4 linked regions of the Elephas maximus indicus genome follow. The main gene of each other region encodes a partner of the protein of the gene in region 2 in a complex. Links are inferred from orthologs where the notes say so. Each region holds a gene or a part of one and is shown on either strand. Other genes may lie near its edges.

The links.
Region 1: CWC22 (region 2) and RBMX2 share a complex: the UniProt entries of both Homo sapiens proteins name them as parts of the minor spliceosome. The link is inferred for Elephas maximus indicus from reciprocal best matches to the Homo sapiens genes CWC22 and RBMX2.
Region 3: CWC22 (region 2) and CWC15 share a complex: the UniProt entries of both Homo sapiens proteins name them as parts of the minor spliceosome. The link is inferred for Elephas maximus indicus from reciprocal best matches to the Homo sapiens genes CWC22 and CWC15.
Region 4: CWC22 (region 2) and PPIL2 share a complex: the UniProt entries of both Homo sapiens proteins name them as parts of the minor spliceosome. The link is inferred for Elephas maximus indicus from reciprocal best matches to the Homo sapiens genes CWC22 and PPIL2.

The regions. Positions count from the first base shown.
Region 1 is NC_064846.1:26,103,425-26,111,402, forward strand, and holds the start of RBMX2 (RNA-binding motif protein, X-linked 2), read right to left. Parts: upstream 3,357-7,978; coding exon 3,292-3,356; intron 3,096-3,291; coding exon 2,980-3,095; intron 1,826-2,979; coding exon 1,774-1,825; intron 1-1,773. UniProt on the Homo sapiens protein: Involved in pre-mRNA splicing as component of the activated spliceosome. As a component of the minor spliceosome, involved in the splicing of U12-type introns in pre-mRNAs.
Region 2 is NC_064824.1:78,258,600-78,266,339, reverse strand, and holds the start of CWC22 (pre-mRNA-splicing factor CWC22 homolog), read left to right. Parts: upstream 1-4,397; 5' UTR 4,398-4,503; intron 4,504-7,740. UniProt on the Homo sapiens protein: Required for pre-mRNA splicing as component of the spliceosome. As a component of the minor spliceosome, involved in the splicing of U12-type introns in pre-mRNAs. Promotes exon-junction complex (EJC) assembly.
Region 3 is NC_064825.1:25,933,142-25,941,612, forward strand, and holds the start of CWC15 (spliceosome-associated protein CWC15 homolog), read left to right. Parts: upstream 1-5,139; 5' UTR 5,140-5,245; intron 5,246-5,272; exon of another isoform or gene 5,273-5,493; intron 5,494-6,928; coding exon 6,929-7,059; intron 7,060-7,928; coding exon 7,929-8,041; intron 8,042-8,471. UniProt on the Homo sapiens protein: Involved in pre-mRNA splicing as component of the spliceosome. Component of the PRP19-CDC5L complex that forms an integral part of the spliceosome and is required for activating pre-mRNA splicing.
Region 4 is NC_064840.1:21,008,021-21,015,612, forward strand, and holds the start of PPIL2 (RING-type E3 ubiquitin-protein ligase PPIL2), read right to left. Parts: upstream 3,263-7,592; 5' UTR 3,152-3,262; coding exon 3,120-3,151; intron 324-3,119; coding exon 274-323; intron 1-273. Other genes in the region: uncharacterized protein LOC126065945, read right to left, coding at 4,741-4,915. UniProt on the Homo sapiens protein: Has a ubiquitin-protein ligase activity acting as an E3 ubiquitin protein ligase or as an ubiquitin-ubiquitin ligase promoting elongation of ubiquitin chains on substrates.

The sequences.
Region 1 (7,978 bases), on a different chromosome or scaffold from region 2:
ACTAGAAATAAATATTAACACTATGAAATATTAACACAGTAAAAAGCTTCTATGATGAAACTAGTGTGGTACTGGCACATGACTAGACAAGCAGAAGATAAAGAGATCCTAGTGCATATGGAAAAATTAGTATATGATAAAGATGGCATCCCAATTTGCTGGGGAAAAAATGGACTTTTTAAATAAACGGTGTTGGGGCAACTGGATGGCTATTTGGAAATGGTAAAATTGGATCCATACTTCACATCATATACCAGAATAAGTTCTAAATGGATCAGAAATTTCAATGTAAAATAGGAAAGAACACAGGTGAATTCCTTTATAACCTGGATGGGTGAGGAGAAATGCTTTCTAACTATGATGCAAAATCCAGAAACAATAAAGGCTGATAAATGTAACCAAATAAAAATGAGGAGGGAAGACTGAAGCATGAGCAGAAAGGAGTAAGACGAGGGAGTTTTAGGTGGATGGAGCTGTTATTCATCCTGATTGTGGGAGCAGTTATACAAATCTAAACATGTACTAAAATTCACACAACTGTACATGCCTCAAAAAACCAATGTTACCATATAATTTAAACATATAAAGAAATGAATGCAGGAAATAAAAAATAATAAAAGGAAAATAATTTTGCAGAGCAAAACAAATCATAAGCAAAGTCAAGAGGCAAATGACAAACTAGGAAAACGTATTTATAATTTATCTAACAGATTAAACGGCCAGAAAGTAACTTTTTTTTTTTTTTCGCTATAAAGGGCATTATCACGACAGCTGGAGAAACTGGATAAAGTCTATAGATTAGATAATAATATTATGCAAAGTGTTGATTTCCTGAATTTGATCACTGTTCTGAGGTTAAACAAGGGAATGTCCTTACTTTTTGGGAAATATATATTGAAGAATTTAGGGATAAATGAGCACCATGTCTGCAAGTGACTTTCAAATGGTTCAGAATAAAATTGTATATACATATTGAGAGAAATAAGAAGCCTTGCTGGCACAGTGTTTAAGCACCTGGCTGCTAAATGAAAGATCGATGGTTCGAACCCACCAGCTGCTCTGTGGGAAAAAAGATGTGGCAGTCTGCTTCTGTAAAGATGACAGCCTTGGAAACCCTGGGGTAGCTCTACTCTGTCCTACAGGCTCGCTATGAGTCAGAATCGACTCAGTGGCGACGGATTTGGATAGAGAAATGATGACAAAACCAATGGGATAACATGGTAACATCTGGGGAATCTGGGTGGAGGGGATACAGGTAGACGTTCTTTATACTACCCTACAACTTTCCTATTTTAAGTCTGACATTATTTCAAAATAAAAGTTATAATAAGAAGTCAAAAAAAAAAGAATACAGAAGCTGGCTTGACGGGGCTCCTATCCAATAAAAACCAAACCCATTGCCTTCAAGTTGATTCCAACTCACTGCAACCCTATAGGACAGAGTAGAACTGCCCCAGAGGGTTTCCAAAGAGCGGCTGGTGTATGTGAACTGCCGACCTTTTAGTTAGCAGCCGAGCTCTTTATCACTGTGCCACCAGGGCTCCAACAGGGTTCCTAGTGACCCTCAAATTGGAACAATTTGAGCAACAAGAAAGAATAATGATGGTCACGTATTATAACATATCAAATTATTTAAAAATGAGTCCACGGCAACATAACACATGATAAAGCATTATAACAAAGAGTTAATATCCTTAATACGTGAAGGGCTCTTATAAAATCAATAGGAAAACACCAACAGAAAAAGAAGGCAGGAAATGAAAGGGGACTTACTGTGAGAACACACAGATGATGTCTCCTTCAGTCAGTTCATAAGGAAGCCCTCCTAGAAGAGGAAACCATATTTCAGCACATTTACCAAGTGTCTATTACATACCATGCACTGAGCCAGGCACTGGGGTGCAAAGGAAAGTAAGCCACAGGCCCTGCCCTCAAAGAACGTACAGTCTGATGCAAAGATGGAAGTACGTATAAGGTGCAGAAGTACAGAAAAAGAAGCGATTAAAGGTGTGTGTCACCCTTAACCAGGCTGATCAGATAGCTCAGTCCTCACACCCAAAATTCTATTCATGAAGCAGATAGTTTCCAGTACAAAACTGTTTCCACAAACTTATTTTGAATTCATCTGCTCTTTACCCACAATTTTATAGCTAAGATCCAAAATCAGCTTAAATATGTTCATATTAACCCCACCCACACAAACACTAAGGATTATAAAGATAACTGTTAGGCATTTCATAGGAAATAAATCCCGCCCCCCATGTTTCCTTCCTCATCTGTAAAATGGAGATACTAGTACTTATCTCACAGGATTGTTACACAAATTAAACAGTGTATATGAAGTGCTTAGCACAATTAATAGTTACAACATAAAGTGAATCTAGGGATGGTGATATGGCCATGGACAGAAGGTAGGAGCTAATTAAACAAACAAAAAAAATCAAACCCAGTGCCGTCGAGTCGATTCCGACTCATAGCGACCCGATAGGACAGAGTAGAACTATCCCGTAGAGTTTCCAAGGAGCGCCTGGCGGATTCGAACTGCCGACGCTTTGGTTATCAGCTACACCAACAGGGTTTCTTCAGGAGCTAATTAGATAAGAAAAATGAATTTTGAAAGGTGATAGTTTGGGGTGGGAGGGCGGTTGGCTGCTTCCACTTGCTAGTTATGTGACCTTACGGAAGCCGGTTAATTTCTCTGAGCCTCAGTTTCCTCAGCTGTATAACGGGAATGAGGCGGGGGTACAGAAATGATCTCTGAGAAGCCCGTGAAAGGCTCTCAGGAAAGTGAATGGCACACAATAACAGGAACGCTCACGAGCATTGATTTGGCAGGGAAAGCAAACTAGAAATGAGGGCGAAAAAAGATATAAAATCGGATTAACAGCAGACAGCAGGTCAGTAAGAGCGGATGATGAAATGTGGGCAGGGGCGAAGAGCTAGAATGCTGAAATGTCAGGAAGCAGCCAGAAGACTCACCCAAGAAGACCCAGGCGCTGTCCTTGTACTCGGAGTGCCAGGAAACCTTATCGGCCACCCCAAGCTGGACCTCCCGCTCATTCAGCTCGTTGATCAGCTTCACCTTAGTCAAAGGGCTGCAGAGAGGGTGGAAGAGAGACAAGTAAGTGAGGTCCGGGCTGAGCTAAGGGAGAGCAAAACTAGGGGGACTGGACTCTCTAGCCTCCGCGCCTCTCTCACCCCTCCGCCCCGCAGACGCTCTACCATCCCAGACCCCGTGGTCCACCTCCCGGCGGGCAGCTCCCGCTTCCTCAGAAGAAAGTCGGGCCTTACTTCATCTTCGTGGGTCCCCGCTTTGCACCGAAACCTAGTCTTCCGGGTGAGGCTGCGCGGCACATGCGCAGCCCGGGCGCTTCGCGCTCATTGGAGGCGGCGGAGCATGCGCCGGAAAAGCTCGACCGCGCCAGGGGCGTGGCGCCTGCGCACGACTGTGAAAGCGATTTTTCTAGCTCCGTGTGCTTCGTTTTCCCGGAAGGAGTTTTTCTCTAGTCTCCTGCGCCATCTGTCTGTGAAATGGGGCAAGAGTGCTAGGCTGGCTTGTCACAGAATCCCACACTGATTGGGTTAGCTATAAAAATTTACTGAATGAAGAATGAAAAAGGTGCCCCATGTGGCGACATTTGTCCAGCCCTCGCTCCCAGTCCAAGCCCCCACTCGGGCCTTCATTCCCAGACCATCTCTCACAAACACACATCCTAGTATTCTTGTTCAGCAGTATGGCAGAAAAGTAAAAAAAAATATGCCAATGCATAGGCAATGGACCACTGTGCCTCCACAGGCTGAATTGAATCTGTTTGTGTGAGAGCTGCTACATTTACCCTTCTCATAGTCTCGCCTATTTGAGTGGGAGGCAGAAATTAATGTTGTTAAAGTAAGAGCTAACAATTGAGCAGATAATGCGCTAAACAATGCCAGATCATGTGCTGAGCAATTTACGTGTCTCTCCTTTACAACAACCCCATGGAGTAGATAATACGATCATCCCCATTTTATAGAGAAAGAAACTGAAGTTCAAAGGAATTAATTAGCTTGAAAGGTACTCTGCCTCTACCCACCAGGTGAGGTTTATTTCATCAGTGCTTACTGAGCATCTATATTTGTCCTGTACAGCTAGAATCTGTAGAAAGGAGTTTAAGGCTGGTCCTCTCCCCTCAAGGAATTAATAATATAATTGAGGAGACAAGATATATTTGCCTAATAGATGTCACTCCAGAAGTATCCAGGAACCAGTAGACAACATGGTGGCATATGATGTGTGATTTTAGTCATAACACTATTTGAACCCATTTGCATCTTTCCACATCAAAATCTGGTCTTGGACCATGATGTTTTAAAAGTGAAAGTCCAGAGCAATGTAGTTCTCTGTGTAGGCCTAGCTCAGAGTCAGATATTAGGCCCTTTATAAAAGTATTTTGATGATGATGACAACTGTATTCTCAAGTGGCTCACCATGTACCTATGTCCTGCCAAGTAGCAGAACAGTGGCTGCCCATCCATGACAGCATCTCCTCATACATCCGGTGTCTGTGTCCCCTCCCTCATCCCAACCCAGCTATTCATTAACTTTGTAGAATTCTCTTGGCAATAAAAACTAAACAGTGACAGATTGCATACGGGTTTATCTACCTCTAGGAATCTCAGGTTGCTTAGTTGTAGGGTTGAAGTAGCCACTGCAAAGTGGTAAACTAGCATGTAGCATTATCTGGTTGACTTCTTCAAGTGACTATGAAATGAGAGAGTTGGGGCTACACCTGTCCCAGTCATCAGCATTCAGAAGGAAACTAGAACAGAAAAGGTGACTAAATCAACCAAAGGGAAGGGTGATATTGGTTGAGGAGAACATAAGAAGACAGTTGCTATCCAGCTGGTGGGTTCAGCAGAAGTATTCTGAAGCTGGGGGAGCTGACAATCATCCCAGTTTGCTTGGGACTGAGGGATTTCCCAGGACACAGGACTTTCAGTGCTAAAATTGGAAAGTCCAGAGTAAACTGGAATGGTTGGTCACCTTAGGAGAACCTGAAGTAAATAAAGAAGCAAGAAAGGCAGATTCTCCATGGATGTGCTTGCCATTGGTAGAACTGGTAGGTAAGATAATGCCTTGTGATTTCTGTAAGTGTGAGTTGAAAGGCAATGGGGGTCCAGAAGACCCCCTGAACTTAATGCCTGAGAAGACGACCAGGGTTTGCCATCCAAGGTGGTTATCAGTGATCTCCGCCAACATTTATTTAAGACCCACTGTATGCAGAACTCAGCTCTAGTTTCTTGGGCAATGCTAAGGAAGCTGAAGTAGTCCCCACATTAAAAGAAAGACTGAACTATTTGTCTAGCCAAAGTCAGCTCCCTACTTCTCACCACCAAACCACACCCCAAAACAGCTTTCCCTATTTTGGGCAATGCTATCACCATTTTCCTGGTTGCCCAGGGTGAAAAAATGGTTCTCATATTTCAGTCTTCCCATTTGTTATGGATTAAATTGTGTCCCCCCACCAAAAAAAAATGTGTTGGAATCTTTACCCCTATACCTGCAATGTAATCCTATTTGGAAATAGGGGTTTTTGTTATGTTAATTAGGTCATGCCGAGTAGAACCAAAAACCAAAACCATTGCCCTGGAGTCAATTTGGACTCATAGCGACCCTATAGGACAGAGTAGAACTGCCTCAGAGGGTTTTCAAGGAGCAGCTGGTGGATTCAAACTGCGACCTCTTGGTTAGCAGCCGAGCGCTTAACCACTACACACCTGGGCTCCTACCTGAGCAGGGGGAGTTCTAAATTGAACCCGATCTAAATTTAATCATTGAGTTCAAAAAAAAAGCAGATAGACAAAGAGGCATGCACACATGGGGGAAGACAGATGCCATGTGAGGATCACCAAGGAACCAAGGAACGCCTGGGGCTACTGGAAGGGAAGAAATCAACACAGCTGAGACCCTGATTTGGACTTTTAGCCTCTAGAACTGTGAGAAAATAAATTTCTGTTCTTTAAAGCCACCCTTTTGTGGTATTTCTGTTACAGCGGCACTAGGTAAGAACCTTGCCCCGCCAAGTCCTAATAATTGTACCACTGCAGTGTCTGTAACACATACATCTTCAGGCTACAATCCTACTCCCAGTGATTATCACATGCTTCTTAGCTCTCTCAGTACTCTTATAATTCATACCAGCCCCTAGTCTTGATTTCTCTCATCACTCCCTGACACAGGCCCTCGACTTCAGTCAGGCTCCACTTTGAGCCTTCCCCTCGAGGGCCCCTTTCATTACCCAACCTGGACACCTCTGCTGAAAGAGCCCCATATACCTGAGAGAGCCAGCCCCCTCTCTGTCTGATTGAAACCTGCCCAAGCTGCAGACCTGGATCAAGTTGTCCCTCCAGCAGGAACTTTTCCTGACCTTACCAGCCCACAGTGATGGCTCCCACTTCTGAACTCTGCTTCACTACAGAACTCTTTATGCACTCTTCCCAGAAAGAGCATGAGATCCTGGAAGGCAAAGGCTCTGCATTTATAACCTCTCAGCACCTCAAGCCTCAAGCACTTTCCTGCACACATAACTTATACCCAATACAATAATTGGTTAATAAAGTTGAAAAACACACACAACTATGGTTACCTTAGGAGTCCTTAGATGGTGCAAATGGTTAAACACTCAATTATTAACTGAAAGATTGGCAGTTGAGTCCACCCAGGGGCACCTTGGAAGAAAGGCCTGACAATCTACTTCTGAAAAATCAGCACCTGAAAACCCTATGGAGCACAGTTCTACTCTGACACACATGGGGTCGCCAGGAGTCAGAACTGATTCGATGGCAACTGGTTTCATGCAGTGGTTAAGCATTAAGGCTGCTAACCAAAAGGTCAGCAGTTCGAATCCACCAGGTGTCCCTTGGAAACCCTATGGGACAGCTCCACTTTGTCCTAGAGGGTTTCTATGAGTCAGAATCAACTCAATGGCAATGGATTTCCGGGTTTTTTTGTTTTTGAGGGAAACAGATGAGGGTAGTAGAAAAAGAGGTTTTTATTTTCCCTTTGGACCTTTCTATACTGTTAGAATTTTCTTACCTTTATCCAGATATTTTTTTAAATGCCACGTTATCTTGGCAGATGGATTATGACCTTTCTTTTTTTGCTTTTATCTTTTATTCATTCTTTCAACAAGTATTCATTGAGCAGCTATTATGCGCCAGACACTGTTCTAGGTGCTGGGGTTATAACAGTAAACAAGGCAAACAAAGTCCCTGCCCTCATGGAGCTTACATTCTTGTTGGAGAAGAATGACAATACACATATACACATACATCTAAAGTTGATAAATGCTATGAAGGAAAAATAAAGCAAGGCAAAGGGATAGAGAGTGACGGAGTGTTCTTATTTTATAAAACGTGTTTGGTCAAGGAAGGCATCCCTGATAAAGTGCCATTGAGAAAGACCTGCGAGAAGATGGGGAGTAAGCCAGGTGTGTATCTGGGAGAAAAGTGCTCCAGGTAGAGGGAACAGTAAGTGCACACGTCCTGGGAAAGAAGTGTTTGAAAAACAGCAATACCAGTGTGGCTGGAGAGAAGTAGGCAAGGGGAAGACTGATAGAAGATTTTTGTTTATTTAAAAAAATCTTATTTAGTGCCTAAATAAGATCCTAAGTACTTTACACACACTAACTCATTTATTCCTCACAACAACCCTATGAGGTAGATGCTATTATCCCCATTTTACAGATGAGAAAACTGAGGTACAGAGAGATTGAGTCACTTGCTCTAGGTCACACAGCTAGTAGATGGTAGAGTCAGGACTGGAATCCAGGCAGTATGGCTCCAAAGCCTGCACTCTTAACCACTATGCATAGGATGAGTGTGTGGAGACAGGGAGTAGATCATGTCAGGACATGTTGGGTAACAACTTTGGATTTTACTTGGCGTGAGGCGAGAAGTCACTGAAAGATTTTGACTTGACTTACATTTAAGCAGGATC
Region 2 (7,740 bases):
GCTCATGCCCGAATGACCGCAGCCCAGCTTGTTGTTGTCCTGGCTGTGAATGGGTGGCTCCTTACGTTAGCCCTGTCACTACCACAGGTCAATGCTCCCTAAGATATTTATTCCCCTCAGGTACCAGTGTCCACATGTACCAGGCCTCTAGACGAGCCTCAGGCTGTAGATGAAAGAGGGCACTGGGTTTAATCCTAAGCAGGGCAGGTCCAGTAATAGGGCTCCTGACCCCTTGGGGAAGGTTCGAGTTCCTCCATGGTAATGAGGGTTTGAGTCCCTCTGTGGCCGCCTTTTTGAGGGTTTGAGTCCCTCTGTAGTAAATGGCTACACAAGTTCAACCAACACCCAACTTCACAGGATATCTGGGATGTAGTAAAGGCAGCAATCACAAACTTAACATGGTACCTTCCCCTTCTAAGATCCCTGGCCATGGTCATTCTGCTACTTGTATTTGGGCCTTGTTTGTTTAACCTTTCAGTAAAGTTTGTGTTTTCCAGGCTTCAGAAGTTCCACCTGCAGATGATACTGCAACGGGGATATCACCCCATCTTCCTTGAGCAGGTTCCAGCTAGAGCCCAGTTCTATGCCAGCACCCCTAGCCAGCAGGAAGAAGCTACAGAAGATGAGACCTTCGGCCCTAAACACCTTTTAAGATAGAGAGGCAACTGAAGCCTCTGCCGAGATTTCCGCTGCTCCACCATGGTTCCCCCCGTCACAGCCCGCCAAGCCACGGCTTCTAACTGTGGTTTGGCCTGACCACACCAACCTAACCGCAGTTTGAATTTGGTGCCAGAATCCAGCGCATGCGTGAACCAGGATTTTGGCCCATGCACAGGACCTGAAGAGCAGCATCCTCAACCTGTCCTTGGACCTGAGCATCACCAACATGATTCACCATTTGGACCTCCAAATGTGGACATGGGAGGACTAAGGGTGGAAAGTTCCGGGCAGCAAACCCAACCCCCAGATGCCACTGGAAATACAAAGCTCCTCAACTGCCCCCCCACCCCAGATGGGGAGTGCATGGTCTTTCGACTGCTAGGTCCCATATTGCTCCTTGTTTGTGCAAACAATAAACTGCCACTTTCCGTTTCCCTTGCAACTAGTGGTGTGGTGTCTGTCTTATTTCAATTGGCTAATAGGACAGGACAAGAACCCATATCACATAAATTCTGAGGGCCCCAAGCACAATTCATCATAAGATGGAAGTCTCACATTTGGGATGAAGCACAAAGAACACCAGAGTGCACAAGAGACCTACATGAGCAGGTAGCACAGACCTCCATGTCACCCGTTACACTGACATCCCTCCCTCAGTTCATATTGATAGCCATATGAGAGGGAGTGGAGCTAAAACTATCAGAGGAAAGAAGAAAAAAAGGCCAAGCTAAGTTTATGGATGGATTGGCTCACCACATGGTTGAAAGCTGAAAATAGACAGCAACCACATCACAGCCTCATTCAGGACAGCCTTGAAGACAGTGGAGAGGGACAATCTTCTGAGCAATACTGCAGTAGAAAATCAAAAACCAAACCCATTACAAAACCAAAGGCCAAACTCATTGCCACTGAGTCAATTCCAACTCACAGCGACCCTACAGGACAGAGTAAAACTGTCCCCACGGGCTTTCCAAGGAGCAGCTGGTAGATCTGAACTGCTGTCCTTTTGGTTAGCAGCCGTACGTCTTAACCACTGTGCCACCACTATGGTATAAGGACCTAGTCATTTAATCCCTTAGTAGTCCCTCCGTTTCAGAAACTTTGGCAGCATAGATGTTAAGAGCTACCACTGCTAACCAAACAGTTGGCAGTTCAAATCTACCAGGTGCTCACTGGAAACTCTATGGGGCAGTTCTATTCTGTCCTGTAGGGTCACTATGAGTAGGAATCAACTCAACAGCAATGAGTTCTTGGTAGTTCCCCTTTGGAGCTACCCCTGCCCAATCCTGCTTCTTCCCTTTTCTTTTAAAATTCCTAACTCTATCTCAGTATCTTCTTCTTGGAGGACCGAAATGACAAACCTACTTTTTTCTGGCTCCATTCAACTCTTGTAGGCTCAATCCTAACTTTCTTATTTCCACTGATAATTGCAGTGGTGTTCATTATATTTCTTTTAGATATGTTTACCAGATTCATCTCCTGTGCCACGTATTGGTACAAATGAAACATATTCCCTTAAAATACCTTAGAACACCAAAACACAACTTTAGCTATGGTCAACTCTCTTCATATGAATAATAATACCCGTTACTGTCAAGTCGATTCCAACTCACAGTGACCCTACAGGACAGAGCAGAAATGCCCCACAGGGTTTCCAAGGAGCACCTGGTGAATTCCAACTGCAGACCTTTTGGTTAGCAGCCATAGCTCTTAGCCACTAAGCCACCAGGGTTTCCATCGATAATAACAGATAGCAGTTATTACATACTAGGCACTTGACTACTAACCTAAAGGTTGGTGGTTCGAGCCCACGAAGCAGTTGCATGGAAGAAAGGCTTGGCAATCTGCTTCCATAAAAAGTTACAGTCATAATGATTACCCATTCCTGTTGAGTCAATTTCAATTCACAACACCCCTATAGGGCAGAAAACGGCCCCATCAGGTTTCCAAGGCTGTAAATCTTTATGGAAGCAGAAGACCAGAAAGCCCTATGGAGCAGTTCTACTCTGTAACACATGAGGTCTCCATGAGCCAGAATGGACTCCAGTGCAGCTTTTTTTTTCTCTTTTTTAAGGGGATGGGTATTGGTATTATTCCTACTTAACAGATCAGGACGCTGGGGCACAGAGTGTGAAGTAACTTGTCTAAGGTCACCCAGCTAGGAAGCCATAATTCAAATGTAAATAGTCTGGCTCCAGCTTCTTTATTATTAACCACTGTACTCTTCTTTCTCTTGAAAAGGGTTGGTAGCAGAAGCACCCTAAAAATGTAATAAATAAGTATCTGGAGAAACCAGGCCTGGTTTATATAAGGTTGGTGAATATGCTATAGTTGTTTTAAACCAAAACCCAAACCCATTGCCCTTGAGTGGATTCTGACTCATAGCAGCCCTATGGGACAGAGTAGAACTGCCCCCATAGGGTTTCGAAGGCTGTAAATCTTTACAGAAGGAGAGTGCCATATTTTTCTCCGTGAAACAGCGAGTGGGTACGAACAGCAGCCCAGTGCTTAACCACTGTGCCACCAGGGCTCCTCATAGTTGTTTTAGGGAAGGATATATCCCCAAACAGTTAGAAGTAGTTGAACTTTTTTGTTGCTATTGGAAAGTAAGGCATAATGAAATTAATTGATGCTGGATCCCTGAACTCTGTACAGACTACCATTCAAACTCTGCCAGATAATCTCCTTACCTCATGATATCTTGACCGTGAAAAACTGGTATTATGATCTTTAAGGTTGCATGTCAACTTGGCTGGGCCACGATTCTGTGGTTTGGCAGTTATGATGTAGTTTGGCAGTTGTATAATGATGTAATCACTTCCATGACAAGATCTGCTATGAGTAGCCAATCAACTGAAAGGGAGTTTCCTTGGGGTTGTGGCCTGCATCCAATATATTTGGACTTTTTGGCAAAGCTCCTTGGCTTCTGCTCTGCTCTGGATCCTGCATTCAGCTCGTCAGCATCTGACCTCCGGTCCCTGGGACTTGGGCCAGCAGCCTGACATCTGACCTGTGGATCTTGGGTTCATCAGCCCCTGCAGCTAAGTGAGTCAGGAGAAGCCTCCAGTTTGACACCTGACCCATGGACTTGGGACTTACCAGCCTCTACAACCCTGGGAGCCATTTCCTTGAAACCTGGATCTCTCTATCCTTCACTGGTTTTGCTTCTCTAGAGAACCCAGCCTAAGATAGAGACATCATTTTCTTTTCAGGATTAGCTTCTCTTCATTACTTCACACTATTTATGGTTCTGTATTTTCTCCTTCACTTAGGCTTGAAATCTTGGTACTTTACAGGCACTTTTTAACATTTGGTAAAGCTTAATACGCTCTCGTGAAACTACTGTAAAGAGTCTGAATAAGCTGTCTGCTCTTAAGATTTTCACGGAAAACTGACTTAAGTATTACAGTCATGCCAACTGCAGAAAATAGTTTTAGATGAAAGTAAACCTCGCTAAACCCTAACCCTTACCACGTTTCCGGTGCGTTGACTGGATGTACTCGGGGGCGCTTACCTACAATGACTACAATTCCCATCCTACACTGCGGCCTCCACAGCCTAAAACTACAATTACGCTAGCGTCGTTTCCGCTCGTACGGGCAGTGGGTGTTTGATTTAGTCGTTTGTATCAACTTCTTTTGTCGCCGTCTTAGGGGTAGCAAGTGGATGCACAGAGTTCTTTGAATCTAGTACTACGAAATAGTGTTAAAATAAATCAATACTTTTATAACATATCACAGCTAATTTTTAATGTATTTCACGCTCCGCCTTCATTGTGCCGCCAGAGCCCAGGAACGGGAAGTGACGTGTATCCGGTGTAATGGCGGCGCGGTGGAGCTGTAGGTAATTACCGCAAACTCCGTAGACTCCCTGTAGGCAGGGATCCGACGTAGGTGTGGCAGTTTTCCTGAACGGGTGGGAAGTGAAAGGGGCCCAGGAGTGGGTGCGCGCCCGTTGGCCCAGCCGTGGGCTGTAAACGGGTGCGCGTTGCTCCCTGCCCGCCGTGCGCTGGCCCGCGAGGTGGGGGTGTGAGCGCGGGTCGGGTCGAGGAGTCGGAGCGGGTTAGGAAGGGGCGGTGGTGTGCTCGCTCCCCGCCTGCATGGATGAACTTAGTTTCCGCCTGAGAGTTTTGGGCTGACTCCTATCTCTTTGTTAGTGAAATCCAGCAGTAGCGATGGTCTTTTTCTTCGCGTACAGTGCGGTTCGGGCGCGGGGTACTTAGAGCCTGAAGAGTTAAGTTGGGCTTCCCAGGCACCTTTCATAGTGTCCCCGTCCTAGAGTCATGGGGGTGGGATTAGGAAACTGTAGTTGATTGAAATAGTGGAAGTTGCACTCTTTCACTCATTTCCTTCTTAATATTCCTGTGACTACCTATTTTACTAGTTTCTTTTTTCTTCGTTTGCCTCGTAAATACTGATTGTTCTCAGTGTTTAGGCCGGGGGGGGCTCTTTCCTTATCATGTGTATTCTTTCACTGTCATCTTCATCTTTTGATCACTGGAACTACATCCAGTAGGGTGATCATAACTTCCAAATTTGAGTCTCAGGTGTCCACCTGCCTTCTGAGCTCCGGATCCAACAGTACATTCTTGCGTACAATGGTATTTTAGTAGTTTCATTAACTGCGGTAACTGCTTTATTTATTTTCACCTAACCCTCAAAGCAGTTCTTCAAGGTAAGTGGAAAAGGAAACATACTGAGAAAGGCTGTTCCAAAGGCAAGCATTGAAGTGATTGAAAGCGTGATAAGAATTTGCTTTGCATATTCGGGTGTCCACAGACTAGACATATGAGGTAGATACGCAAACAAGCTTGGTTTTCAGAAAACATGTTAACCTACCTTTTACTTTTCTGTGTTTAGATTTGTCTTGGTTTAGTATTGTCTCTGAGCTCAGGAATTAGCTTCAGTTAACAGAAAAGCAACTTTAGAATTGGTGTTTAATAGTGTGGGTTTTGACCATGGTAAAGTTACTGCACACTGTGTCTGTAGGAGGAGGTAACTCCCTTGCGTTGAGTTGATTAATGGACTAGTGAGCCAAAGGTTCCAGTCTTGGCCTGACATTTATTGGGTCTATCACCTGGGTGGGGTAAGTCACCTTATGTCTCTCATCTTAGCTTCTTTACCTGAAAAACTTAGATTATAATATCTACCTCACCGAGTTGTTTTGAAGATGAAGGAAAATAATGCACATTAGATATTAAGCACAGTGCCTGGTATATAGTGTTACCCATTGCTGTCGAGTGGATTCCGACTCATAGCAACCCTATAGCACAGGGTAGAACTGCCCCTTAGGGTTTCCAAGGCTGTAAATCTTTTCGGACTCATAGAGTCGGAATCGACTCGATGGCACTGGGTATTTTTTTAAATCTTTTCGGAAGGGCTCTTTCTCCCGAGGACTGGCTGGTGGATTTGAACCACCAAACTTTTGGTTAGCAGCTAAGCCTTTAACCACTATGCCACCAGGACTCTATTATATAGTGTTAGCCCTTATTATATTAAGGCTCTCTGGTGGCACAGTGGTCAAAATTATCTACTGTTAATGGGAGGATCAGTCTTTGGAAACCACCAGCCGGCTCCAGGGTAGAATGTGGCAGTCTGCTTTCATAGAGATTATAGCCTTGGAAACCCCATTGGGGTCACTGTGAGTCGGAATCGATCCGACGGCAGTGGAATTGGTTTTTATTATTTTATTATTGCTGTTGCTGCTACTACTACTGTTACATGTTGCCCTTCTACTATTAAGTGTACAGGCGCCTTTCGTAACTAATCTGGCTGGGGCTCTGGGACTTTGTGGAAGAAAGGCCTGGTGATCTACTCCCCCAAAATCTGGCATTGAAAACCCTGTAGAGCACAGTTCTACTGCGACACACACGGGGTCGCCACGAGTCGGAGTTGACTCAACAGCAACTGGTTACTGGTTTTACTGGGACTCTGCTTATACTTGCTTGCTTATCAGAGGCCGAGAGCCTTGATCTAATACCCTGGCTCAGTGGTTCTAAAAGTGGTCTCCTGAACCAGCAGCATCAGTACTTGTTAGCAATGCATATTTTGGGGCCCACCCCAGTCCTGTTGAATCAGAAACTGGAGGAATGGGAGCCTATCAGTCTGATTATTAATAAACCATCTATTTGATTCTCATGCCTGTTTGAGAACCACATCCCCTAGAGACCTGTTTTTTTTTTTTTTAATTGTGCTTTAGATGAAGATCTACAGAACAAATTAGTTTCTCATTAAACAACTAATACACATATTGTTCTGTGACACCAGTTGCCAACCCCGCAATGCGTCAACTCTGTCCCTTCTCGACCTTGAGTTTCCTGTTTACGTTCATCCAGCTTTCCTGTCCCCTCTTGCCTTCTCATCCTTGCTGCTGGCCTGGTGTGCCCATTTAACCCCTATACATGGTTGAGCTACGTGTATTTTTGTTTGTTTTATGGGCCTAAATCTTTGGCCAAAGGGTGACCCTTAGGAGTGACTTTAGTAGTGAGTTAAAAAGGTGGCTGAGGGCCATACTCTTGGGGCCTAGAGATCTATTTTTGTCTGTTGTTTGTGTTTTGTTTCATTTTCCAGAATCAGCTGCTACTCCCCTTCCTCACTTTGGATAGTTTAGCTCCAACCACTTCTGTAGTTAGACACTCCCTAGACTATAGGGTCCCTGTGAGTTGGAATCAACTCGACGACAAGGAGTTTGGTTTTTTTAGGCTACTTAGCTGTCTTTCCTAAACCAGCTTTCCTAACTGTCAGCTTTCCCAGTTGCTGAATTGTTAGTGGTTAACTCCTTTCTGATGATTGTACGCTGCCAAGTGACCTGTAATGGCTTGAACCTGAGGCCACCTGAAAGGACACAAGAGCATCAGGGTATATGCTCATGCCATAACTGCAACATTATTTTCTGTTTGTTGACCACATGGATTTAGAGCTAGTTTAAGGAAGAAGTGGTTGTTGGTGGTATAGCTGATCCCACTGATGACTTTTGAGGACTCCTTTGTTGCATTTCCCTACTTTTCATTTTAAATTTGAGAGTCCTATGGAAGGGTGATGAAACAGTAAGGCCTTTGGCGTATTAGTTTCAGCAAACTCC
Region 3 (8,471 bases), on a different chromosome or scaffold from region 2:
AACTCATTCACTCATTCATTCATTCATTCATTCGCTCACTTGGAAAATGTTTACTTGGCACCTACTGGTGCCAGGTAATGTTTAGGTACTTGGCCTACATCACTGAGCAAAACAAACATCTTTGCTCCTGTAGAATTTATATTCTGCATGGGAGAGTTAGAGACAGAAACAATAAAGGTAATGTAACTAAATCATATAGTACCAGGGAAGATAATGCGTGCTATGTAAAAAAGGAAAAGTAGAACAGGGTAAGGACATCAGAGTGCACAGTGTTGGTAACAGAGGTCTGCCTCATTGGAACAAAGCCTTCAATGAGATGGGCAGGAGTGCTCTTGGTGGAGGAAACAGCTAGTGCAAGGGGGCCTAAGTCAAGAGCCGCTGTGCTTGTTCAAGCAAAACCAGGGAAAACATGAAGCCTGAAGAGGCATGAACAAGTGATGAGGTCAAAGAGGCAGAGGAGAGGCTAGATTACGGACAGCGTTGTGGGCCATTGTGAGAACTTTGGCTTTTATTGTGAGGGAAATAGGGTGCATTCCCTCTGTCTGGCTGGATGCCCTTTTCTCCCCATGGCATTATTGTATTATCTAGTTGTATTACTGGATATACCCAGTTGTATTATTGATTTTTTTAAGTGTTGCCAATCCGATGCTGTAAAGTGATAATTCCTTGTTAACATACTTTCATTTCCCCAATATCAAGTGTCTTTCATGTTTGTCTATTTGGAATTGCTTTTTTCTGAATGGCCCGTTGATATCCTTTGCCCATTTTTTTTTCTGTTGGGTTGTTTGTATTTTTTTTACTTATTACTATTATCAGTAGTAACAGTAGTAACCATTTACATGTTATAGGCATTACAAAATTTCCCCCCAATCTACCATTTATCTATTGATTCTGCTATTGGCATCTTCTACCATAAAACTAATTTTTATATAGACGAATTTTTTAAATTATTTCTTTTATAGTTTCTAGGTGTTCTGCCTTGATCAAAAGGTTTCTTCACATGCTAGGCTGTATAAAGAGTCTCCTAAATTTTCTTCTTAGGTTTTTATGGTTTCTTTTTTCCTTTTAGGTGTTTAATTCATCTGGGCTTTGTTTTTGTGTCAGCTTTGAGGCTGCAATCCCTTTGTTATTTCCTGACATAAGAAGAGTCAGTTTTCAGAGAGGGCCACATGAACCAGAGACCTACATTATCCTGAGAACAGAAGAACTAGTTGGTGCCCGGCCACAATTGATGACTGCCCTGACAGGGAGCACAATAGAGAACCCCTGAGGGAGCAGGATATAAGTGGGATGCAGACCCCAAATTCTCATAAAAAGACCATACTTAACGGTCTGGATGTGACTAGAGGAATCCCGGCGGTCATGGTCCCCAACCCTTCTGTTGGCACAGGACGGGAACCATCCCCAAAGACAATTCATCAGACATGAAAGGGACTGGACAGTGGGTGGGAGAGAGATGCTGATGAAGAGTGAGCTAATTATATCAGGTGGACACTTGAGACTGTGTTGGCATCTCCTGTCTAGAGGGGGGATGGGAGGATAGAGAGAGTTGGAGGCTGCCAAAGTTTTCACAAAAGGAGAGACTGGAAGGGCTGACTCATTAGGGGGAGAGCAAGTGGGAGTAAGGAGTAAGATGTATATTAACTTATATGTGACAGACTGACTTGATTTGTAAACGTTCACTTGAAGCTCAATAAAAGTTAATAAAAAAAAAAAGAAGAGTCAGTTTTGTAATTATGGTTATTATATAAAACATCCTTTTCACATTGGAAAGCCTGGTTGCATAGTGGTTAAGAGCTATGGCTACTAACCGAAAGGTCAGCAGTTCGAATCCACCAGGTGCTCCTTGGAAATCGTATGGGGCAGTTCTACCCTGTCCTATAGGGTCACTATGAGTCCACGGCAATGGGTTTGGTTTTGGGTTTTTTCACATTGAATTAAAATACAACCTTTGTTATACTAAAACGGAACATTTTTTAAGGTTAGGATATACTACACCATGTTCGAAGCTGACAGGAATAATATGAAAGGGATGGATTAATACGTTATGAAGGAGAGATAGAAGATGTAATAGGATGCTAATCACTAAGAAGGCTGGAAAGATTGGGACCCAGAGTACAAGGCAGAGAATCTGGGTCACCTCATCTCTAGTAACACAGGGAAAGGTGAGAACAGGCCCGTAGCTGCAGGCAGCTTGGTAGGTCTGCTGGGGTGGGGGAGGATGAGGAGTCCTTGTTTGTGAGTTTCTGTTTTCCCAGGGAAGTAAGAAGATAATTAGCTCCCAAGAAAACGGGTGAGAAGGGAAGAAGGGCTGGAGGAGACGTGTAGGAGTTTTGAGGAACAAGGGCAATGTGGGAAATCATATCACTGAAGAGTAGGAAAATAAACAGAGGGATGTTTAAGGGGGCTGGCAGGCAGAATTAAGAGCCCAACTAGACACTTGTGGTAAGGGGTTTAAAATAAGAACTCTTGGAAAATCAGTTGCGTGATTTTTTTATCAGCAAAGTTCAGCTGATAGCATGAACTTATTTTTTTGTAAATATACTTAGTTTTAAGTTTCTTTTTCTTAATACCGTCAAACTGTTTAAGTCAAAAATTTTAGTTTCTTTTTCTTACTACTACTTTCAAACCATTTAAGTAGAAACACTCTTTAGTTTCTTTTTCTTATTAATACTTTCAGATCATTTAAGTCAACAGCTTTTAATTTTGTGGACGGATTATATTGTATGTTGGTGTTGATAGGTGCTGACTTACCAGGGTGGTCACCTAATCATGGCAGGTGGTCAAAAGATTGGGTGGTGGGCTGGGAGTTAAATGGATTAGGGTGATTCGCTCAGGGCTGATAAAGGCAGTTGACACATAAAAACCATGGATATTTTCTACAGTTGTGTCACCATCTTGTCATTGCTACTTCATTCCTCTACTTCAGAGTGCATCATTCATTCATTCATTCAACAAATACTTACTCAGCACCTATTATGTGCCAGGCACTGTTCTATATGCAGATGATACACCAGTGAACAAGAGAGACAACGTTCCTGCTTTCCTGGAACTTACGTTCTAATACAGGAAATAGACAATAATAAAAATAATATTAATAATAATATTAGCTAACATTTATTTAGCAAGTACTGTTTGCTGAGACAGTTCTAAGCACTTTACAAGTAGTAACTCACCTAATCCTTATAGTAAGATTAAGGGGGAGGGACTAGTATTATCTCCATTTTATACATCAGGAAACTGAGGGCAAAGAAAGGGAAACTAACTTGCAATGGGTATAAGCTGAAAAAGGCAGAGCAGAAATTTTGAACCAGTCTGGCTGTAGATCCCTTTCTCTTAAAAACTGTTCTGTGCTGCCTTTCAGACAGGAAACAAGGCAATAAACAAATGAACAAAATAAGTTCAGGTGGTATTCAGTACTACGAAAAAATAAAACAAGGTGGTATGAAGGTATTTACGTGTTAAAGGGGTGAGGGTGCAACAGGTGGGTGTTAGGGAAAACTTCACTGAGATGGCATTTGAGCTGAGACCTGAAGGATGGTTATGCAGTTATCTTGGGTACAGGCAGCAGAGAAAAGCGAGTGCAAAGACTCTGATACAGAAGAACCTTGTCTTGCGAAACAGAAATGCCCACTCGGCTACAGGTTAGTGTATAAAAGAATAACTTACTCAAATGAAGTCAGGGAGATAGGTAGGAGACAGAACCTGTGGGGCCTCAGTTCACACTAGGGAATTTGATTTTTATTCTAAGCGCAGTCGAATTTTATGCAGAAAAGTAATACTATCTGACTCATAATTTTACAAGATCACTCTTGCTGTATACATAAAGCTGACTGGAGGACAAAAGGAGAAGCAGGAAGATCTATTAGGAGGCAATTACAATCCAGGTGGCTTGGACAGGGTGGTGGCTAGGGCTGGGGTGGTGCAGTAGGATGAAAAGTGAGGGAGCAATTTAGTATGTATTCTGAAAGGGGATTGGAAAGACTTCCAGATAAACTAGATGTGAAGAGTGCAGGGGAAGGAACTTAAGTACAGGCTTTGGGATTCTGGGTAGTGTCATTTACTGAGATGTGTAAGGGGGGAGGAATACCTTCACTAAGAAAAATCAAAATTTCCATCTTGGACTTAACAGAGGAAGGAGTTTTCTCCTACTTTTTTTTCATTTAAAAGTTTTAAAGAAAAAGTTTAAGGGAAAAGCTTTTGAATATTCAATTTTGTGAGCTCTTTACATTAGAAACTGAGTTGGGGAGGTTACATTTTCATTTGTTCAACAAATATTTATGGAGCACCTACTATACGCCAAGGACTATGTGATGAGACACCAAGATGAACTAAGCAAACAAGATCCCCGCTCTCAGAGTCCTTTGTTTTACTTTTATTTTTCGGTAGGAAGAGAGAGGGAGATGGGTGATTTTTTTCTGTTTGTTGTCTTATTAAAACTTCACCTAACGCTTGAGTAGCCATCTTATTAGTAATTGCATCTCGTGCTCCTGGCAGTTGGGCCCACCGTTCTAAACGCTCAATATCAGGTGAATAAATGAATTAATCGCTAACATTACATCTTCCCTCCCACTAGAATTCATACTTTTTTTTTTAATAAAAATTTTAACAAACAATACGAATACAACCTTCGCTTTGAAGTCTAATATTTTTGCAGGAATGGTACCTTTATAAAGATCGTGGTTGCCCCCGTACATATTTGTTCTTTCTTCATATCCAATTAAATGAAAACACTAGCTTTTCCGTAGCCCAACTCTCTAGGCTTGTTGGGTCTAGCTCAGGAGAAAGGAAGCAGGAACCGTTGGATTTAAACAGTTTGGTGTAATCCTGTTCCACGCTCCCTCCCGCTAGTCGGGGACGTGATGTCGGCTATCCTGAGCTTTCCGTCCACGCAGAACCGGAATGAAGGAGTCTGGGAGGGGGTCGGGGATGGAAAAGACGGAAGAGACATTAACTAATTGGCTCTTGAAGGTATAAAATGATGTTTTAGGGTCTACGCTAAGGCACCGATTTCAAACGCCCGCCCCCTGGACCGTTTCGGTCCCGCCCCCTGTTGTCGTCACGCCGACTTCCACCTTGGCCTCTGTGGATTGGTCCGCGCCTCCGCCTCTGAAGGGCAGCTGAAGCGCTTGGATTTTGCTTCCGGGTCTTGGCTTTGGCGCTGGACGCAGAGGTTTCTGGGAGGCAAGGGGCGTAATGGTGTGTGTATGATCTCCGGAGGCTGCAGCATCGGACGTCGGCCAAAGTAAGCGGCAGGAGGGTGGCAGATATTCTTCTTCGTTCTGGAGGTGGGGCAGGAAAGGGCGACTGGGGTCGGAGGCCGCGACAGCGCGCGGGCGGAAGAGGTCCCGGAGCGGCAGGGTGCTAGCGGAGCAAGGCGCCTGTGGAGCGCTTGCGAGCTGCTGGGCCGGCCGAGGGAAGCTCGGCGCGAAGGCAGCTGTGCAGACGGCTTTAGGCAAGCCTTGGGCCCCCCTACCGCCGAATCCGGTGCAGGTGAGGCATCAGCGAGTTCCTGGTGACAGCTTGTCGGCGGGCTCCCGGGAGGCCGGGGTGATGATAAACAATGGGGGGGGCGGTGGCGCCCCCAGCGGCAGAAAACCCTTTTTCTCCCCCTGTGGGTACATGCCTTTCCTTTTTTTTGAAAAACAAAAAACTGTACAAAAAACATCCAGTTCCAGCTTGCTTTTCCGACCCTAAACCCTAAAAAACCCAAATCCGTTGCTGTCGAGTTGATTCCTATTATGGGTTTCTGACCCTATCGGAATGCTATTAGCAACATCTGCTAGGCAGTGTTCTTTTGGCTGTTTATAGTCTAAGTAACCAGGGCTTTGACCTGGTTAGTTTTGGGTTGAACCCTGATGAGAATTTGCGTTTCCGCCCCCAGATATACCAAATCAGAATCTATATTTTAACAAGAGACCCAGGTGATTATGTTTAATAAATTTTGAAAGCCACTGCTCTGCTTGTGGTTCTCAGAATTGGTCCCTAATCAGCAGTATTAGTGTTGCCTGCGGATTTGTTAGAAATGCAAATTCTGAAAGAAACATAATGAATGGGTCTCTGATTTTTGGTTACCACAGCCCTTAAATGTTATTTTACAAAAGATCTGATTTATGTTATGATGTTGTTGTCCTAGAAACTTGGATCAACCAAAGATTGTTGGATAATTTTGTCCTTGTAACTGTCCTTAAAATTTAGCACACTTCTACAGTTTAACTTTTCTCCAGGACAGTTAGTAACAGTGATTTTTAAAAGTACCTTTGTGTTTTTGAGATGGCTAGCCCATTTGCTGTTGTGTGAGTTCTAGATAAAATGCAAACCCTACTGGTGGAGTAAGATTGAATTAAGAGTTTTTAAAACTCAATCATGGAGTGTCTGTGTTGGACAAGTGCTTTGACATGTCAGGAGCCCTGGTGGCACAGTGGTTAAGAGCTATGGCTGCTAACCAAAATGTCTTGATAGTTTGAATCCGCCAGCTGCTCCATGGAAACCCTATGGGGCAGCTCTGCTCTTTCCTAACTATGAGTCAGAATTGATTCGATGGCAGCGGGTTGACATGTCACATCTCAATTTTCATAATAATCCTATGGGGAATACCCTGGTTTTACAGATGGCAAAAATTTAAGCTAGGTGTCTTGCCCAAGGCCTCACAGCCAGAATGAGAAAGGGTGGAACACAAACTCCGATCCTTATTGCAGAATTTTTTTTTTTTTTTTTACTAGCAAGAGCCTCCTGAGTAGCTATATACTTTGTACACTCTGCGCCTCATGATTTGTTAAGAATGTTTGTGAGACTGTTCAAGTAAATAACTCACTGGGGAATGAGTGTGGGAAATTATTTCACAAGGATGGATATTGACTAATGCTTCATAAAGTGACAGTTTATCATATTGCAAATAACTTGATACTCTTTCTTCAAATCGTATAAGATGACAACAGCAGCCAGGCCAACTTTTGAACCTGCAAGAGGTGGAAGAGGAAAAGGAGAAGGTGATTTGAGCCAGCTCTCAAAGCAGTATTCAAGCAGAGACCTACCCTCTCATACGAAGATAAAATATAGGTAAAAAATTCTTTAAGTTTTTCTTGTTCACAAAACAAGACCATATCTACTAAATGGCATGTGATAGGATAGTAGCATATTTGTGTTATATCATTTTAGGTTATCTATTTTTTAGAAACAGAAGGCATAGAGTATATTTAAGATACCCTGATAGTGCCCTGGTTCAGCACTTGGCTATTAACCTAAAGGTTGATGGTTCAAATCCACCCAGTGGCTCTGAGGGAGAAAGTCCTGGCAATCTATTTCCATAAAGATTACAGCCTAGAAAGCCCAATGAGGCAGTTCTACTCCGTCATCTGGGGTCGCTGTGCGTTGAAAATCACCTTGATGGCACCCATCAGCAACAACAGAGTATGTTTAATGCTAAATTATGCTCTACAGTTGTAAACTGCTACGAGACATTTCATTAAGCAAATTCTTATCAACTTGGAATTTCTATACATAGATGTAGCACTAACTGATGCATTACCTCAGAGGGACCATGTACCATCAGCGCTGGGCAATATGAGGTTAAAACCATTACTGTATTCATTAAAACTATTTAAAAAATGAAGGGTAACAGGTGACTGGGAGAGGTGTGTTCCTATAACAAGCCCTCAGTTGATGTAATACTAATAAAAATTTAAAGATATTTTAATCTGCAACCTTATTATTCGAAAATATGTGAGTTACTCAGCATTTTGAAATATTGGAAACATCTCAAAGGTGCCTACTAGTAACCTCCTTCAGATTACATTAATCATCTTTTCTAGTCAATTTTTTTTTATACTTGAGGGACTGGAGACAAATGAAGCTTTTGTAGATTGTCTTTCATTTCTGCAGTTAAGCATTTTTTAGTAACAATTTGCCCTGGTTTGTTTCTACTTTAGACAAACCACTCAGGATGCCCCAGAAGAAGTTCGCAACCGTGACTTCAGAAGAGAGTTGGAAGAGAGAGAGAGAGCTGCTGCAAGAGAAAAAAATAGAGATCGTCCAACCCGAGGTACCAACACTATACAAAACATTTGTCTCATAAACTGACACATTGGAGATAGTTTTTTTTTCATGTAGTAAGTGGAAAAGATTAATATGTTTGTGTGTTTTTAACTACTGGTGTGAGCTCTAATGCTTCCTCAAATGAACTGATAAGATTAGAGGTGATAGCCAAGGTTCATTCCAGTTCCACCTTTTTATGCTTCTGTGTTAGAAAGGACAGAGGTGATTGGGGACATTTAGCCATCGTTTCAGTTCAGATCAAGGGATTTTTACTATTTACAGCGATGAGGCTTTTTAAGGCCTCATGGTTTCTGTCTTTCAAGATTGCCCCATTTTTGTCAGTGGCTGTTGGAGGATAAGGAGCCCTTGTGGCACAGTAGTTAAGCGCTTGGCTGCTAACTGAAAGGCTGGCAGTTCAAACCCACTCCGGGGCTCCA
Region 4 (7,592 bases), on a different chromosome or scaffold from region 2:
CTCTGCTGCCTGGGTAGTTTGGGATATTATTCTTTTTACTCCTTATTAATTTGATAGAGAAAAAAATGCCATTTTAACCTACATTAAAAAAAAAAATTACTACTGAGATTAAACATTTTCACACATGTTTAGCTATATGTCCTTTTCTGAACTGTGTCCTCAGCCTGTCTACTGTAATTTCTACATTCTTAATTTTTACAGGCTCACTGCACAGTGATGAGATCATTCCTTAATTCCTCCCCTCAGAGGGAACTGAAAGATTTCATGCCTTACCTGGCTTCTTGCCACCATAGAAGTGAGTATACTCAGCACAGGTAATGTACCTGAAGAAGAGAGGAAATGTTACTACCATCAGAGGACAGAGTCTTTGGAAGTAAGTCATGACTTCATCATTTGCTCATTCAGCAAATGCTTATTAAACACCCACGTGCCAGGCACAGAATGATGACAGAAGAGACATGAGGATGCACAAGCTAACACAAACAGTCCTGCTTGGCTCTGAAGGAAGTTAGATGAATGTAAAACAAGGCCTAGCGAGGAGAAGGAGCTGGCCATGTGAAGATCTAGGCAACAAGCTTTCCAAGCAGAGGGACTAGCAGGGATATCAAACATAAAAGCACTGAGGCAGGGAAAAGCTAGGTGTGTTCTAGAAGAGAGGGGATGCCATGGGAGACAGTGTCTGCGGGAAGGTGTGAAAGCAGATGAAAACTGAGACGTAGGTGGTAAAGCTGAAAGAAAGCTGTTAAAGGGTTTTGAGCAGGACCTTGGTATCACCTACTGTAAGTCTAACAAGGATCACTCTGGGTACTATGTGTAACGGACAAGCAAGACAGGAAGCAGAAAATCCACCCAGGAGGAGGCTACCAAGGTCCAAGAAGGAGATGGCATAAATTCCACCTGGGTGGAAGGGGGTGGGTGAGGTGAGCTGGAAAGACTGGCAACTGACTAGAGGTGAGAGTTGAGAGAAGTAGCATCCCATCCAGCTCCCAGGCTTTCTGATCTGAGTAAACTGATTGGACAGTGGTGAGGCAGTGAGATAGGGAGAAAGAGGTTCAGTGGCTAGAAATCGAGTTCAGTATTGGACATACTCCATTTGAGGTGTCTGTGAGGCCTCCAAGTGGAGATATGGAGTAGGCAGCTATTGCCAAAACTGGAAAGATCAGCTTGTAGAAGACTGGGTGAGAACATCCACGGAAAACATACATGAAGAAGAAACCTGGTGCTCGCTGACCTACAGAGGTCTGGGAGAGAAGGAGGAGTCTAGCAAAGGAGACAGAAAAAGAGGCCACAGAGAGAGACTGGAGGAACTCCTGAAACTACGGCCCCCGGACACTGTGTTAACCCAGAACTGAAACCATTCCTGAGACCCACTCTTCAGATAAAGATCAGACAGGACTACAAAACAAAAAATAATACACCAAGGAGTGTGCTTCTTAGTTCAATCAGATACACAAGACTAAATGGGCAGCTCCTGTCCGGAGGCAAGGTGAGACCGCAGGAAGGGACAGGAACTGTTTGAATGGACACAGGGAACCCGGGATGGAAAAGGGGAGTGTGCTGTCACATTGTGGGGATTGCAACTAATGTCGCAAAACAATATATGTATAAATTCTTGTGTGAAAAATTCATTTGATGCTTTGAAGGCCAGTGTAGCAGGGGCAGGGGTTTGGGGACCATGGTTTCAAGGGACATCAAAGTCAATTGGCATAATAAAATCTATTAAGAAAACGTTCTGCATCCCACTTTGAAGAGTGGCGTTTGGGGTCTTAAACGCTAGCAAGCGGCCATCTAAGATGCATCAATTGGTCTCAACCCACCTGGAGCAAAGGAGAATGAAGAACACCAAGGACACAAGGTAATTACGAGCCCAAGAGACAGAAAGGGCCACATGAGCCAGGGACTACATCATCCTGAGACCAGAAGAGCTAGATGGTGCCCGGCTACAACCGATGACTGCCCTGACAGGGAACACAACGGAGAACCCTTGAGGGAGCAGGCGAGCAGTGGGATCCAGACCCCAAATTCTCGTAAAAAGACCAGACTTAATGGTCTGACTGAGACTAAAAGGACCCTGGTGGTCATGGTGCCCAGACCTTCTGTTGGCCCAGGACAGGAACCATTCCCGAAGCCAACTCTTCAGACATGGTTTGGACTGGACAATGGGTTAGAAAGGGATGCTGGTGAGGAGTGAGCTTCTTGGATCAGGTGGACACTTGAGCCTATGTTGGTATCTCCTGCCTGGAGGGGAGATGAGAGGGTAGAGGGGGTTAGAAGCTGACAAAATGGACAGGAAAAGTGAGAGTAGAGGGACAGAGCGGGCTGTCTCATTAGGGGGAGAGTAATTGGGAGTAAGTAGCAAGGTGTATATAAGTTTTTCTGTGAGAGATTGACTTGATTTGTAAACTTTCACTTAAAGCACAATAAAATTCAAAAAAAAAAAAAAGGCTCGACGCACTCAACAACAGCTGCATACCAGTATTAATGAGCTAAAAGATACATCAGGAACACCTGTCGCACTCATAATGCTAATAAACAAATGCCTTTACATAACCAAACAAAAAAAAATTCATTTGAGCTATAAACTTTCACCTAAAGCACACTAAAGAACGAAAAAGAGGCCACAGAAGAGAAGGAAAACAAAGAGCACCTGGTGTCCCACACACCAAAGAAGCAGCTTCAGAAGAAAGGAGTGGTCAACTGTGTCCTCTGATGCTGAGAAGTCCAACAAAATGAGGACTGAGAATTGACCACTAGCTTTGGCATCGTGGAAGTCACAGGGACCCTGACAAGTGCCGTTCTGGGGCAAAAACATGACTGTAGTGGTTTCAGGAGACGGCAGAAAACTAGTAGACACATACATTTCAAGTCTTGCGATGAAGAATCAAAAGAAACACGGTGGTAGCAGGAGAGGAACACGGGGACAAGGCAAGGCTGGTCTGTTTGGAACTGGGAGTCACTGCAGTGTGTGTGTGCGCGAACAGGCGTGAGGCAGCCAACCCCGTGAGCACGGAGAGTAGGGGCCAGAGGGACCACTTGCAGAAGCCCAGCGCCCCAAGGTGAGAGGAAGGCCCAGGAAAAAGCGGCATAGGGGTGCCGCTCCCGTTTGAGGTTCCACTTACATCTTGTCCTTCTGGTGCTGTCGCTTCCCCATGGCGGCGACAGACGGCAGCGGCGACTGGACGAGCGTGAGCGGGCACAAGAGACAGCGGACAGTAAGACCCCGATGCTTTAGCCGAGATCTATGACCAGTTCCGGGATCCGAGGTCCCGCCCCGGAAGCGAGCGCTTAGCATGCCGGGAAGTGTGGCCCCGGCGCGGAGCGCGCATGCCCAGTCCCTGAGCGTCCAGCTGAACTCACCCACTAGGGCGTTTGCGCACAGGGCGTTGAGATGCTTTCTACTCGAAGCCCTCTCTTTTGGGGGGCCTCTCTCCGGCTTGTCTCGCTTACCCGCCTAGCCTGGGCGCAGTCCTGCCCGGGCTCTCAGGCATTTTAAAAAGCCCATCTGGAGCCGCAAGGCCTACTCCTGTCCACACTGGCTGGCTAGCTGCTCACCGCCCGCCCATTCACCCACTCTCGTCGCTGCCTCCAGGCCCCTGTGACCCAGTGGCAGGTGGTCACCAAGCCTGGAGGCCCCAGGCCCTCACTGGTCTCTATTGACTCTTCCGCTGGACCCTTCCTTGCCCCAACCAGAACGTTTGTGTACCCCCATCTCATTTCTAGCCTCTGTTTATACTCAGGCACCGGGGGATCTTGCTTTAAAAATCACTTGTATCCCGTGACTACCAATGCTAAGCCTGTGCTCCAGACTCCTGACCTTTACTGGGTACCCACTGACCTCAAAGTTAAAATGCCTGGTCAAAGAAGAAGTCGCCATTCCCCACCCCCTCCCGCCACCGTCCCCCAATTCTGTTGAATATACCATCACCAACCCAGTCACTGGAAACCAGCTGTCCTTGCTTTTCTCATTTTACTGCTGGTTCCTCTAGGTTCCACTTTAACGACACCTCATAGAGACCTTCCTTGATGCCCCCATCCCAGGTGGCTGTCCCCAGACCTCTCCATTCCAGCTCCCATCAGGCTGCTTATCACAGTGTGTCAACTCGTAGTAATTCATCTGCGTGCTGGTTTACCCCCACCCCCCTCATAGACACACACTGCTTGGTTTATCTACAGTTCCAAGAAAGGTGTGGAGCACATGCAGGGGTTCAGCATCTGCTAATGTGCCTTCCTTGAAAGATATTTAGTGAGGACTCACGTTTCACATGCAGGTTTGGTGCTAAGGTTGGGAGTGAGGTGACAATTAGTCATACATCTTTGAAATTCCTTAGAAAGGTGCCAAGTTGTAAAGTGACACATCAGCTTCCTCCAGGGAGAAAACATGTTTCTAAATCTACGCACCAAGTAAGGTTTGTGTTTAGGGGCTAGGTGTAGGAAAAAGATGGTAGACATGCAGCTCAGTTGGGTCAAATGAGGCCCAACCAAGGGCACCACTCGTTCCTTGAACAAAGTGCATATGGCTGAGTTTTCACATTAGGGTACAAGCGATGAGTGCTGACCTGACCACCTACTGTATGCAGGCTCCGTCAAGGGACCTTGGGCTGGCACTACTACCCTGACCATCCCTTTGGGCTAGAGGGAGCACTAAACCACGCCGAGGGAGCCCAGCACCCACCCCAGCACAAGCACAGCACCTCCAAAGAATCTTTATTGATTCATCAGGCCATGTCTGTAGGGAAGTGGTTATGCGCTCCCGTGGTGGGGCACCGAGTCTGAGCTGCCAGGGTCGTTCTCTGAGTCATGGTCAGGTCTGCGTACCGGCTGGAACTTGAGTAGGACAGGTGGGGTGAAGATGGAAGCCTTCACGGGAGGGGATGGCATCTCCTCGGTGCTGGGGGAGCCACTACAGGTTGAGGTCCTGCACAGAGACATCCAAGAGATGCCCATGACGTGGGCCACCAGAACCCAGGACCATGTACCCTCAGCACCCTGCTGACATATTTCTACTTCCAGAAACCTCTCTTATGAATGTGTGTTCAATGCTGTTCATTGCAACAATCTCTTATGACTATAAAAACCTAGAAACAATCTAAATGTTCATCAATCAAAAAACCAGTTCCCATTGAGTCAACTCCAACTGATGGTAACCCCATGTGCGTCAGTAAAACTTGTCCCATAGGGTTTTCAGTGGCTGATTTTTCAAAGTAGATTGCCAGGCCTTTCTTCCCAGATGCCTGTGGGTGAACTTCAACCACCAACCTTTCAATTAGCAGCTAGCAGTTAACCGTTTATGCCACCCAGGGACTCTGACAATGCCCAAGAGTCCTTCACTTTTAAATTGTACTTTGTAGCAACACTGCAAAAATGTTCATTGTCACCCAGCAATCAGTCACCTTCCCCCTCCCAACCCCTCTTCTGATCTGATAGCCTATGAGTGCATAATCACATATAATCATATTTATAATTTTAATGGTGCATAATACTCCACAATTACGTGAATGTACTTTTGAGCAGCTTTGTTATTCACTTTTAACTGATGCTGCCATAAATACTTTTACACACAATGGTTTTTTCCCTTAATAATTTCCTTGGGGCCAGTTCCCAGGATTAAAAACACCAGATCAAAGAATGTGAGAACTTCCATGGCTCCTGATATGTTTTGACAGATTGCCTTTCAAAAGGCTCAAGCCTTTAATTTTGTGCTTCAGAAGACACCACCAAGAAAGTAAAAAAGACAACCTACAGAACAGGAAAAAATATTTCCAAATCATTTTTCTGAAAAGGGATATGTATCTGGAATATATAAAGAACTCTTACAATTCAACAATATGAAGACATACAACTCAATTAAAAACTAGGCAAAGGATCTGAACAGACATTCCTCCAGAGAAGATATACAAATGGCCAATAAGCACATGAAAAGATGATTCACATCCTTAGTCATCAAGGAATGTAAATCAAAACCACAAGGAGATACCACCTCACACCCAGCAGAATGGCTAGAATCAAAAAGACAGATAATAACCAGTGTTACCATGAGAACATAGAGAACTGGAACCTCACACACTGCTGGCAGAAATGTACAATTAGTACAGGCACGCTGGAACAGTCTGGCAGTTTCTCAAAAGACAAAACAGTTACCATATGACCCAGCAATTCTTCTCCTATGCAAACAAGGGCCACACAAAATCTTGTACATAAACATTCGTAGCAGCATGATTCATAATATCCCCAAAGTAGAAACCCAAAAGTCCATCAACTGATGGCCATTTATCTAACAGAATGTGGCATATTCATACCATACTATGGAATATTATTGGGCAATAAAAAGGACTGAAATACTGATTCATGCTACAACATGGAAGAAGCCTGAAAACATCATTCTGAGGTGAAAGAAGCCAGACACAAAGGACCACATATGTATGACTCCGTTTATACGAAATGTCCAGAATAGCTAAATCTATAGAGACAGAACATAGATTTGTGGTTCTAAGGCTGGGGGGATGGGGAGATGGGGGGTTGTCGGTGATGGCTAAGGGGTACCGGGTTTCTTTTTGGAGTGATGAAAATATTCCAAAATTGATTGTGGTGATGGTTACACTCCTTTGAAAATTAAACTTAAAGCCATTGAATTATACACTTTAAATAGGTGAATTGTATGGTATGTGAATTATATCTCGATAAAAACGTTTTTTACAAAAAGGACTATAGTGCCAAGCTACCGCCACTGATCTTTGTGACAGAGATCACAATAGAAGGTTCCAGACAGAGCAGGAGAAAAATGTAGAAAAAAATTCAAATTCACAAAAAAGACCAGACTTACTGGTCTGACAGAGACTGGGGGAATCCCTGAGACTATGGCCCCCAGACACCTTCTAACTCGTAAGTAAAGCCACTCCCGAAGTTCACCTTTCAGCCAAAGATTAGAGAGGCCGAAAAAACAAACAATAATACGAGTGAGGCATGTTCTTCTTAATCAAGTATAGGAGACCAAACGGGCAACACCTGCCCAAAAGCAAAGACGAGAAGGCAGCAAGGGGTAGGAAAACTGGACAATTGGAAATGGAGAACCCAGGGTGCAAAGGGAGAGAGTGCTAACACATTGCGGGGATTGCAACCAATGTCAGGACAACAGTTTGTGTAATAATTTTTGAATGAGAAGCTAATTCGCTCCGTAAACTTTCACCTAAAGCACGCACACACACAAAATTAAGTGATGTTGAAATGGCAAATGTTTTCTTATATATAATTTTGCCACAATAAAAAAGTCAAGTGAAAAAAAAAAATGGACTAAGCCAGCGTATAATATTTTCACAGCAAAAATGAGAGTCTCTTTCTAAAGCTTTGATAGCACTGGATTTTATCATTGTCTCTTTACTCTGGACTTTTTGATAGGTATATAACATACACCCTAGCAATCTTAATATGTACGTTTTCTGTAACTGAGGGAGTCAAAAACACCTTTAAAAGGTTGGCTTATCCTTCTGGTGTCCTCTTGGGTAAGTTTTCTGTTATGGATTGAATTGTGTTCCCCAAAACTGTGCTGGATACCTATACTTGTGGAAGTATCTCATGTGAGAATAGGACTTTCTTCA